Xenopus tropicalis: one gene and its partner. The protein of the gene in region 1 interacts with the protein of each later gene in a pairwise test. Links are inferred from orthologs where the notes say so. Each region holds a gene or a part of one and is shown in the gene's direction. Other genes may lie near its edges. The genes, in order: erbb3 and ppm1b.

Evidence for each region.
Region 2: the proteins of erbb3 (region 1) and ppm1b interact in a two-hybrid assay, tested with the Homo sapiens proteins (2 studies listed by BioGRID and IntAct, with this or other methods). The link is inferred for Xenopus tropicalis from reciprocal best matches to the Homo sapiens genes ERBB3 and PPM1B.

Annotation. Positions count from the first base shown.
Region 1 is NC_030678.2:137,676,010-137,680,406, reverse strand, and holds the end of erbb3 (receptor tyrosine-protein kinase erbB-3), read left to right. Parts: intron 1-322; coding exon 323-903; 3' UTR 904-3,607; downstream 3,608-4,397. UniProt on the Homo sapiens protein: Tyrosine-protein kinase that plays an essential role as cell surface receptor for neuregulins.
Region 2 is NC_030681.2:18,672,358-18,676,180, forward strand, and holds part of ppm1b (protein phosphatase 1B), read left to right. Parts: intron 1-1,437; coding exon 1,438-1,549; intron 1,550-2,554; coding exon 2,555-2,612; intron 2,613-3,059; coding exon of another isoform or gene 3,060-3,068; exon of another isoform or gene 3,069-3,119; coding exon of another isoform or gene 3,120-3,353; exon of another isoform or gene 3,354-3,823.

The DNA of each region.
Region 1 (4,397 bases):
ATCACTATTTACATAATACTAAAAGTACTTTTGGTAAATTGTTTTCATTATATAAATAATGAAGGAGCAACAGTATGTATGAGGTAAAGTAATATACATTAGCTTGGGAATATGTAAACAGAGTAAAAAGTAAATGGCTAATAGAAAGACTGAGTTCTGGCCATTTTTACAGCTTGTACCCTTCCCTGGATAGTACAGCTCTGTAAGAGACAAACTAGCACAGAATTCTTAGGTGTCTAATAGGTTACAGCAGACTGCCTTTATTGGCTGTGGCCCCTGCGTATTTACACCATTCTCATTTCTATGCTTGCTTCACTCACAGAAATTTCACGGGATGGAACACTAACATCCCAAGGATCCAGATCCCTGACACCATGCCTGGTCAATGCCACTGATGAAGAGGATGAAGAGTATGAATACATGAACAAAAAGAAGCCCAGCTCAAAAGAGAAGCTAGAGTATGAATATATGGACATACGTGGAACAGGAGATGCAAGCAATGAATGCATAGCTTTCTCCCCTGCGGAGGGTGACAAAGAGGGAGACTATGAGTATGGAAACAAGGAGGACTACGAGTATATGAATGAAAAAGGGAAATACACAAGTAGGGAAAGCTTAGGAGATGGCGACCTGGAGGAGTACACTTATATGAACCGGAGTGGGAAAGTAAAGGATGAAACTAAAACTGAGGATAAACAGGGCTATGAAGATATGAACTTGGTTGCCAATCTGCCCCAGCAGTTGGAAAGGCCAACAGTAATTCCTCAGACCTGCCATAGAGAGGCATTGCAAAAAGGGTATCACCAGCCCCTTAGGGCTTTAGAAGCTAAAGACTGTGCATTTGACAATCCAGACTACTGGCACAGCCGGTTGTTTTCTAAGACTGACCTACAGATGACATAAGAACTGAAAATGCAATTGTAAAAAAACAAACTTCCCACTAAGTTCCAGGAGTGACTGAATGACCCCCGAGCTATCTTCTGCTCTCAAATGAGAAGCAACATGAATTCAGTTATGTGTGGTACGAAGAGCTGATCATCTGACCCCCTGCAATGTCCCAATGTTAGCTTATTCACACTTACAGTTTGGTCATTATGATACACAAAGGTGGTTGGGCCTGATTAAACCTGCATGCAAGTGAATCAAATCTCAACCCACCAGTCATGTGGCTTTAAAGCACTTTAAAGTCACTGAAAGTGACATTTTTTAGAGGATGCATTTTTAATGTTCGTTGCAAATTTGAATATGCAAATTAGGAGTTGTTTCAGTGCGTGGCTGAATCGTTTGGTGTTAGTCTGAACCCAATCATATTGGCTTGGGTATGTCCCTAGCTCTTTAGTGGGTGTTTGTTATACAACAGCAAGAACTCTGTGTCACTGGATAAATAGTGTCCCCAAACAAAACATAGCAATGATACAATATAATGTGTTTTTCTATTTATTACAATGGAAAGCAGACACACAACCACTAATGATTTGTCGAAGTGGAGACACACAGTAAGATGCTCCATTGCCCTAAAGAATTAGGAATCTTAGAACTGCAGCATATGGGCCTCTAAGGGGCATATTTATTATAGTGCCCATAGCAATCAATCAGCTCTTTCTTTTTGTTTTCTAACTTGTAAGGGACCGTTCAAATCCAATAGCTGATTGGTTGCTATGGGCAACATCACTGGTGATGTCAGCTTACACACTATAATAACTATTCCCCTTAGTGTTACGCTGTCATGAAGGGATAAAGCATGGATAGTCATGGCATTCTAATAAAGCTCGGAGACTTAGTGGGGAATCTAACTGCACTGATAAATAGTAGCGGTAATATAACCTGACACTGTAACACTTTTTTTAGAGGGATATTGTTAAAGGCATACTGTTGTCAGAAAACATACCTAAAAACAATACATAATATTAGGTAAAATAGTGTACATTAAAAAAAAATCACTTCTGAAAAAAATTTACTGTTTTGTGATGGTATGGCAAATTATGCATTTATATCCTGGTAGTCATGTGATGTTTTCGTTCCACTCTGGAAAAAAATGAGCTCTGAACAAATGAAATACTTTGAAATAAAATAATAACATAAATGAACAAAGCACTAGTAAAGGAAAAGCCCCATAATTCCCTTTCCCTGGCCACCATGTTGGAATCCACAGATTGCAGCATTAAATTAACTATTCAGTATAAAAATGAAATAGATAGGCTGTGCAGTTAGTTAGCCAAAAATGTACCCTATAAGGGCTGAGGTGAGCGGATAGCCAGAACACAACCCTTCTTTTGTCTCTCTAACCTGTTAGTAGTCAGTAACCAATAATTGACTTGGGGGTGGGGCATAGGTTTGTTTGCTTTTAAATCTGACCTGTGTGCTAAGGATCAGTTCTAACTGAACAGTTATGTCCCATGTGGCCCCCCCTAAAGTCACTGATTAACTACGAGGTTAGAGAGCTGAAAGCAGGTTCTATTAGGTAGTGTTCTGGCTATTATGCTGACACTCCATGTTGCTCACTCCAGTCTTTTTACACGTTTGGCTAGCTAACTTCTTTATTTCGCACAACATTTATTTACCCAAGTCAGCACTTTGCACACATGCTCTGACTGCCTTGTACTTCCCCTAGGTAGGGACACAAGGAGTGATCTAAGCCACAGATTCCTTAATTTATTTCATTCTGAAGGGCTGCAAAACGAGCTATGTAGCTCAGGCCTCAGGATATTCTAACATACAGTAGCCTCTGGGTGTGTGGGGATCTTCTTTATGACTTTTCTTTCCCTTTTACAAAAATATACAAAAGAAGTAAGGTGATGAAAGTATCACCACCTATTTATATTCTGGACCCAGAAGCAAACGTTTGCCCTTCTCTGCACGTTTAGTTTAGTATTCTCGTTTAACTCTCGTTAATTCTCGTTAATTCTTAGTATATAAACGTTTAGTATTCTCTGCAATACTATTCCAATGCCACAGCATCCTCTGTGCAGCCCTGGTTTATCATATGCGCCTTACAGAAATTCTTCACCTACTCCTGTACTGCCCATGTGCAAGTGCAGAGGATGCTGGGGACACCATTAGAGTAGCAGTGCAGAGAAGAAAAGGACCCTAGGCTGCTGCATTGGAAAAAGAGTAGTCCCAGCAGGGGGTCTGTAGTAAGCAAGTAGAATTACAGGGGGTTGCCTAACAACTTGGGACCCCCAGTGAATATGCCTTTTCTTGTAGAGGAGACTTCTACCTTGGATGCCGTTTAACAAGGTAACTTTGGCGTATGTAATCATCAAATGTAAAGGAAGGAACTGTTTTGTATACATAACCCTACCACATAGACAGTTGCCCTGTTCATGTATCCATGCCTACAGCCCTACCAGTTAATCTGTGCTTTTCTAATACTTTGTAAAATAGCTTTGATTGTTTGTTTCCAGAGTATATTTTTATATGTTATTTTTGTACAGCCCAACCGGGCAGCGAGGGGTATGCTGTAGGTATGTACAAAATTGCCTTTTGTTTTCTAAGATGGCTGGAGATCCTGGTGGAAAGCATGAACTTTGCAGCTGAACAAAGCCTCTCTCCCATGGGGCCAATGATGTACAGAGTTTGAAATTAAATGTTTTATATTTGTTTTATATTTGTAATTGTTTTCATTATCGTCGTAGTGACTTACCTCTGCCCTTTATCCCCTGCTTATGTTCAAAAAATGCTTCTGTCAGAAGGTTCACTGCAGCTCACACACTAACTTAGGGGGTGATGTAATAAAAGCACTAATTTTGCCCAGGAGCAGTAACCCATAGCAACCAATCAGCAGGAAGCATTTATTGGTCACCTGTTTATAAGCAATCACCTTATTGGTTTCTATTGGTTACTGCTCCTGGGCAAACTTAGCACTGTTTATTAAATATGGCGGGTTAATGCATAATAACTATGTATCTTAACCCCAGTACATAATCACTCAAACCTAATAGCAGTACTCACATACCCAGTCTCATTTACAGTCACAGCTAAAAATCACTACTGAGCCTGCATCAATGCTCATAATTGCTCCTAACAACTAGTGACAGTGCCAATGTTCCCATCTAGCATGTTCTTATGAATTATGTGCAAGTGCATATATTGCGCAAACTGGTCACAATTATGCTGGAACTCTGGGGAAAATTTTTTTCTAGATTGTGGGTCAAAAACAATGGCTACTTGCATCCAACAATTGCGCTTTGCACTGCTTTAATAAATGAGGCTGATATTAAGGAGCCTATTCATTAAAGTACGATTGAGTTTGAATGCTAAAAGTTTTAGAACTGTGCAGATTTTGTACTATATTTTCGTTTATTTCCGCAACTTGCTTTGCGTCAATTTGTGAGACAAAATTGTATTTGTTGTAACGAGTACGAAAGTTTCAGATTGATTCAAGCTTTGGTATCATG
Region 2 (3,823 bases), on another chromosome or scaffold:
TCTAATACTGTATGTAAGAGATGTGAGAGATATTTCACTGCTCTGGATGGAGAGGATGGAAGCAATTTATAAGCTCTAGTTCTTTGGTCTGCATTTTATACTGAAAGTATAATTTGTATTCTAATGCAGTTATTGGTTATTGGGATTTCCATGCATATGAATAACAGATGGCATTGGGGAATCCAGTGGGGAAACCATGCTTAAAGTGATCCAGCTGCCTTGCTTCTGTCAATAAAGTCTAATTACAGTTATGGCATAATAATAATAATGGATGATAATCCATAAACCCATTATCCAGAAAGTCCATCTCCCATAGACTCCATTATAATCAAATGATTTAGAATTTTTACAAATTATTTCCTTTTTCTCTACAGTAATAACAGTACAGTTAAGATACAATTAATCCTTATTGGAGGAAAATCTTATTGAGTTTATTTAATGTTTCAATGATTTTTAGCTGATTTAAGGTATGGAGATTTTACAAATTACAGAAAGATCCCCAGGTCCCAAGCATTCTGGATAACAGGCCCCATACCTGTAGATGCCTTTGCATTAGGGGCACAGAGCAAAGTTGTGACAAGCAGGGACATTGTTTACATTTGTCCTCAGCCAATCAGAACTTTTTGTAAGATGTAGAGACATGACAGGATCTGCTGTGCAGTTTTGTGAGTGAGTGCCAGCTGGTTTATTTAATTGATAATTATGAGGTCCTGGTAAATGAGTAAAGTATTACTATCTCTTTAAAAGGCAGACAGTCTTTTTACTATTCATGCCCCCCCCCCCCCCCAAACATATACGCTAAGCTATAAAAATAACTGTATACATAACTGTATTTTGCTCTGATGCTGTCTCGTTCCCTGTTGAAACAGATGCTGTCTGCAGCAACCTAAACTCATTGCTAATGATAAATAGCAGTTACTGTGGGGTCCCTGCTTTTCCTCCTGTTCAGTAAGACAGGAGGATTTCTGAATAAGGAATCCAGAGCCCAGAAGCAGAAAAAGTGGGGGTTGCATTTAGTAGTAGTAATGCATAGGATGTTTTAAAAAGATGGGGGTCACATAGTTGAAGACCTTTTTGTGTGAGGTCGGGCAACTGGTCTGGTCACCTGCTTCTTGGTAAATCGGTTAAGTAACAGAGATCCTTAGAATTTGTTGCCCGGGCATTTAGTAGCTCTGGTGAATGACAAAACTGACTTTCTTCACTTTGCTTGCAGTTGCCTGGCCCCATATGTGAAATCTTTCTGCTAGATTTCCATAAATAGCAGAAGAAACTAAACTAAAGATCAGCACTACATAAATTCGTATCATGTATAAATCATGTTAAAGTTAATGGTCCATGTACAATACATTGTCTGCCTCCATGTGTATATAACTTGTTCCTTGTGTAAGCCTGACACAAATACTGTGTAACTAACAATGTTGGAAATGTCTTATTTAGAAATCATGACCAACGCTGGGGAGGAAGGAATGCCAGATCTTGCCCATGTAATGCGCATCTTAGCTGCAGAGAACGTCCCGCATTTACCGCCAGGTGGAGGCTTGGCAGCAAAGTAAGTAACCTTTATTTTACAGCAGTCATCCTTACAAAAGAGATGTTCATAGTGTGTGAGTTCGGATATAGACATCATCTTGTTCTGTCTGGGCTGGACACCATTTGGCCCAGCCGCACCTTATGATTAGCTGATTATGCATTGAGTAGAAAGCGAGGAATCCAGGCAACTATGGCACTGCTGTTTTATAAATCAAGAAATTAAGAATAAGTAAACTTTTTTTTTTTTTTTTTAAATCTCTAAAATAACATACCTTCCTCCCTGCATTCAGATTTTTGTTTTTCTATAACGAGTAGCTGAACAGCAGCTCTTCTAGTGACTTCCGTGTCTAGCATGATGCTCCACCCTTCTTGCTTTCTGAACACCAGAGAGATTCCTACTGCTCGTGCCTGATTGTTTTTAATTGGAGCAGAGGCAGTGAGCATGCCCAGCATACCTCTCTGAGGCCTTCATAGATGGAGAGTGCAAAATGGGGCAGAGCTTCACACTAGGTAACAGTCAGTAGAAGATGTCGTTCAGCTGCTTGTAATAGAGAAACAAAAGCAAGTCTTTATGCAGGGAGAAAGGTACTTTGTCCTTCTTAGAAGCTGATGCTGTTAAATTAGGGTAATAAAACATGGGTAATTCTAAGTGTTTTGTAGCCTGAACTATTTTCCAGCTTGTTGGGTTGGGGACAGAAAGCTTGAAATCTCTTTTCTGTTCAGTCCTATGGGAGTTTCCTACACCCAGTAATATATTTTCACTTGATAATCGCCTAACCTGCTAGTGCCCTGCTTGGTGTGACTCTGAAAGGAATCGATGAGTGTACCTGTGTGTTAGGGCTCTTATAGACTAGAAGGGTAAGTATGGAAAAGGCAGGGGGTATTGCTAATAAAAGTTGTCAACAGCAATAAGACTTACTGTTCAGTTAGTTATTGATGTGGGTTGAACTCTGGGTCTAACTGTGGGAGAATATTAGAAAAATAGTTTTAGGCCAAGAATTAATCTTTTTTTTTTTCTTTTCAGACGCAGTGTTATTGAAGAGGTATATAATAGGTTGAATCCACACAGAGAGAGCGATGGGGTAAGTTGTGATGTTAGGCCCTACCCTTCTAATAGATATGCAGAGTTTGTTCCCAGTGCTTGGTGTTTGCCAGTGCATATTTATTTCATCACTTTTATTATTTGGTTATGGTTTTTTTTGTACTTGCACTATTAAATATTCTAAATATTAAAGGGGCATTGTCACGTATAGCTGTTGTGCAACCTTTTGTCATGAGCTTCTTTGTCATTTTGGTTGCACCAGGAACATTTTTAGGGGAAGTACAATTAGTTCAACATCCTATGACCATTAAAAGTAGTAAGTTTTATGATATTTTATGCAACATCTATAAATGGTTGGCTGGTAATTACTATAAACTGTTCTAATTTATTCTAAGAAGTGCTGGCTATTTGCAGAAGTAGGTTAATGAAGTCAATTTGCTTTGTTGCGTTTGTAACCTTGGTTTTTTTTTCTGCAATATTTCTTTAGAATGTGTAGAATTTTTTTTTGTCTTGCCTACTGACACTGGGGTCTTGAATCTTAAATAAGGACCCCACTGGAACAGAGGAAAATTCAACGCATGGGAAGTTGGTGGAAGCTCTCAGGGAACTGAGAATTAATCATAGGGGGAACTACCGTCAACTCCTGGAGGAGATGCTGTGTAGTTACAGGCTAGTTAAAGTTCAGGGTGAAGAATCCACATCTGGACCTTCAGTATCGTCCTCTTCCTCCAGTAAACCTGTGGATGACCCAATTACTCGAAGTAACCCAGAAATGGAGTAACATCTTTCACTTGATTTGATGTGCAGTCTGCATGATTTTTTTTTCTTTTTCAACTTTTACCCAATCCTGTTTTATCTATTGATCCACTAGGTATCAGATGCTGTGCTTCTTACCCAGCACCCCACCTCCACCAAACTAAGAGGCATTTTTTAATTACTTTGCACTCTCTTTTTGTAAAAAAAAATTGCCCCCAAACGGAAATTTACCACTCAAAACAGTTTTTTAACCAGAAACACTGTTTATATACAGCATGGAGACAAATCTTCCAAGACTGTAAAAAAATTTTTTATTTGTTTTTAGATAAATGTGTGAATGCCCATAACATTGTAAATCATGGGCCCTTACAACCTAGCTTTAGAAGGTTTGCTGATAATGTTACCAGAAAGGACAATTCTATGGACCGACAGAACTGCGGGTTTCTTATCTCTGCCATCGTTTGTCTTGACATCTGAAAACATGTAAACGGCTTT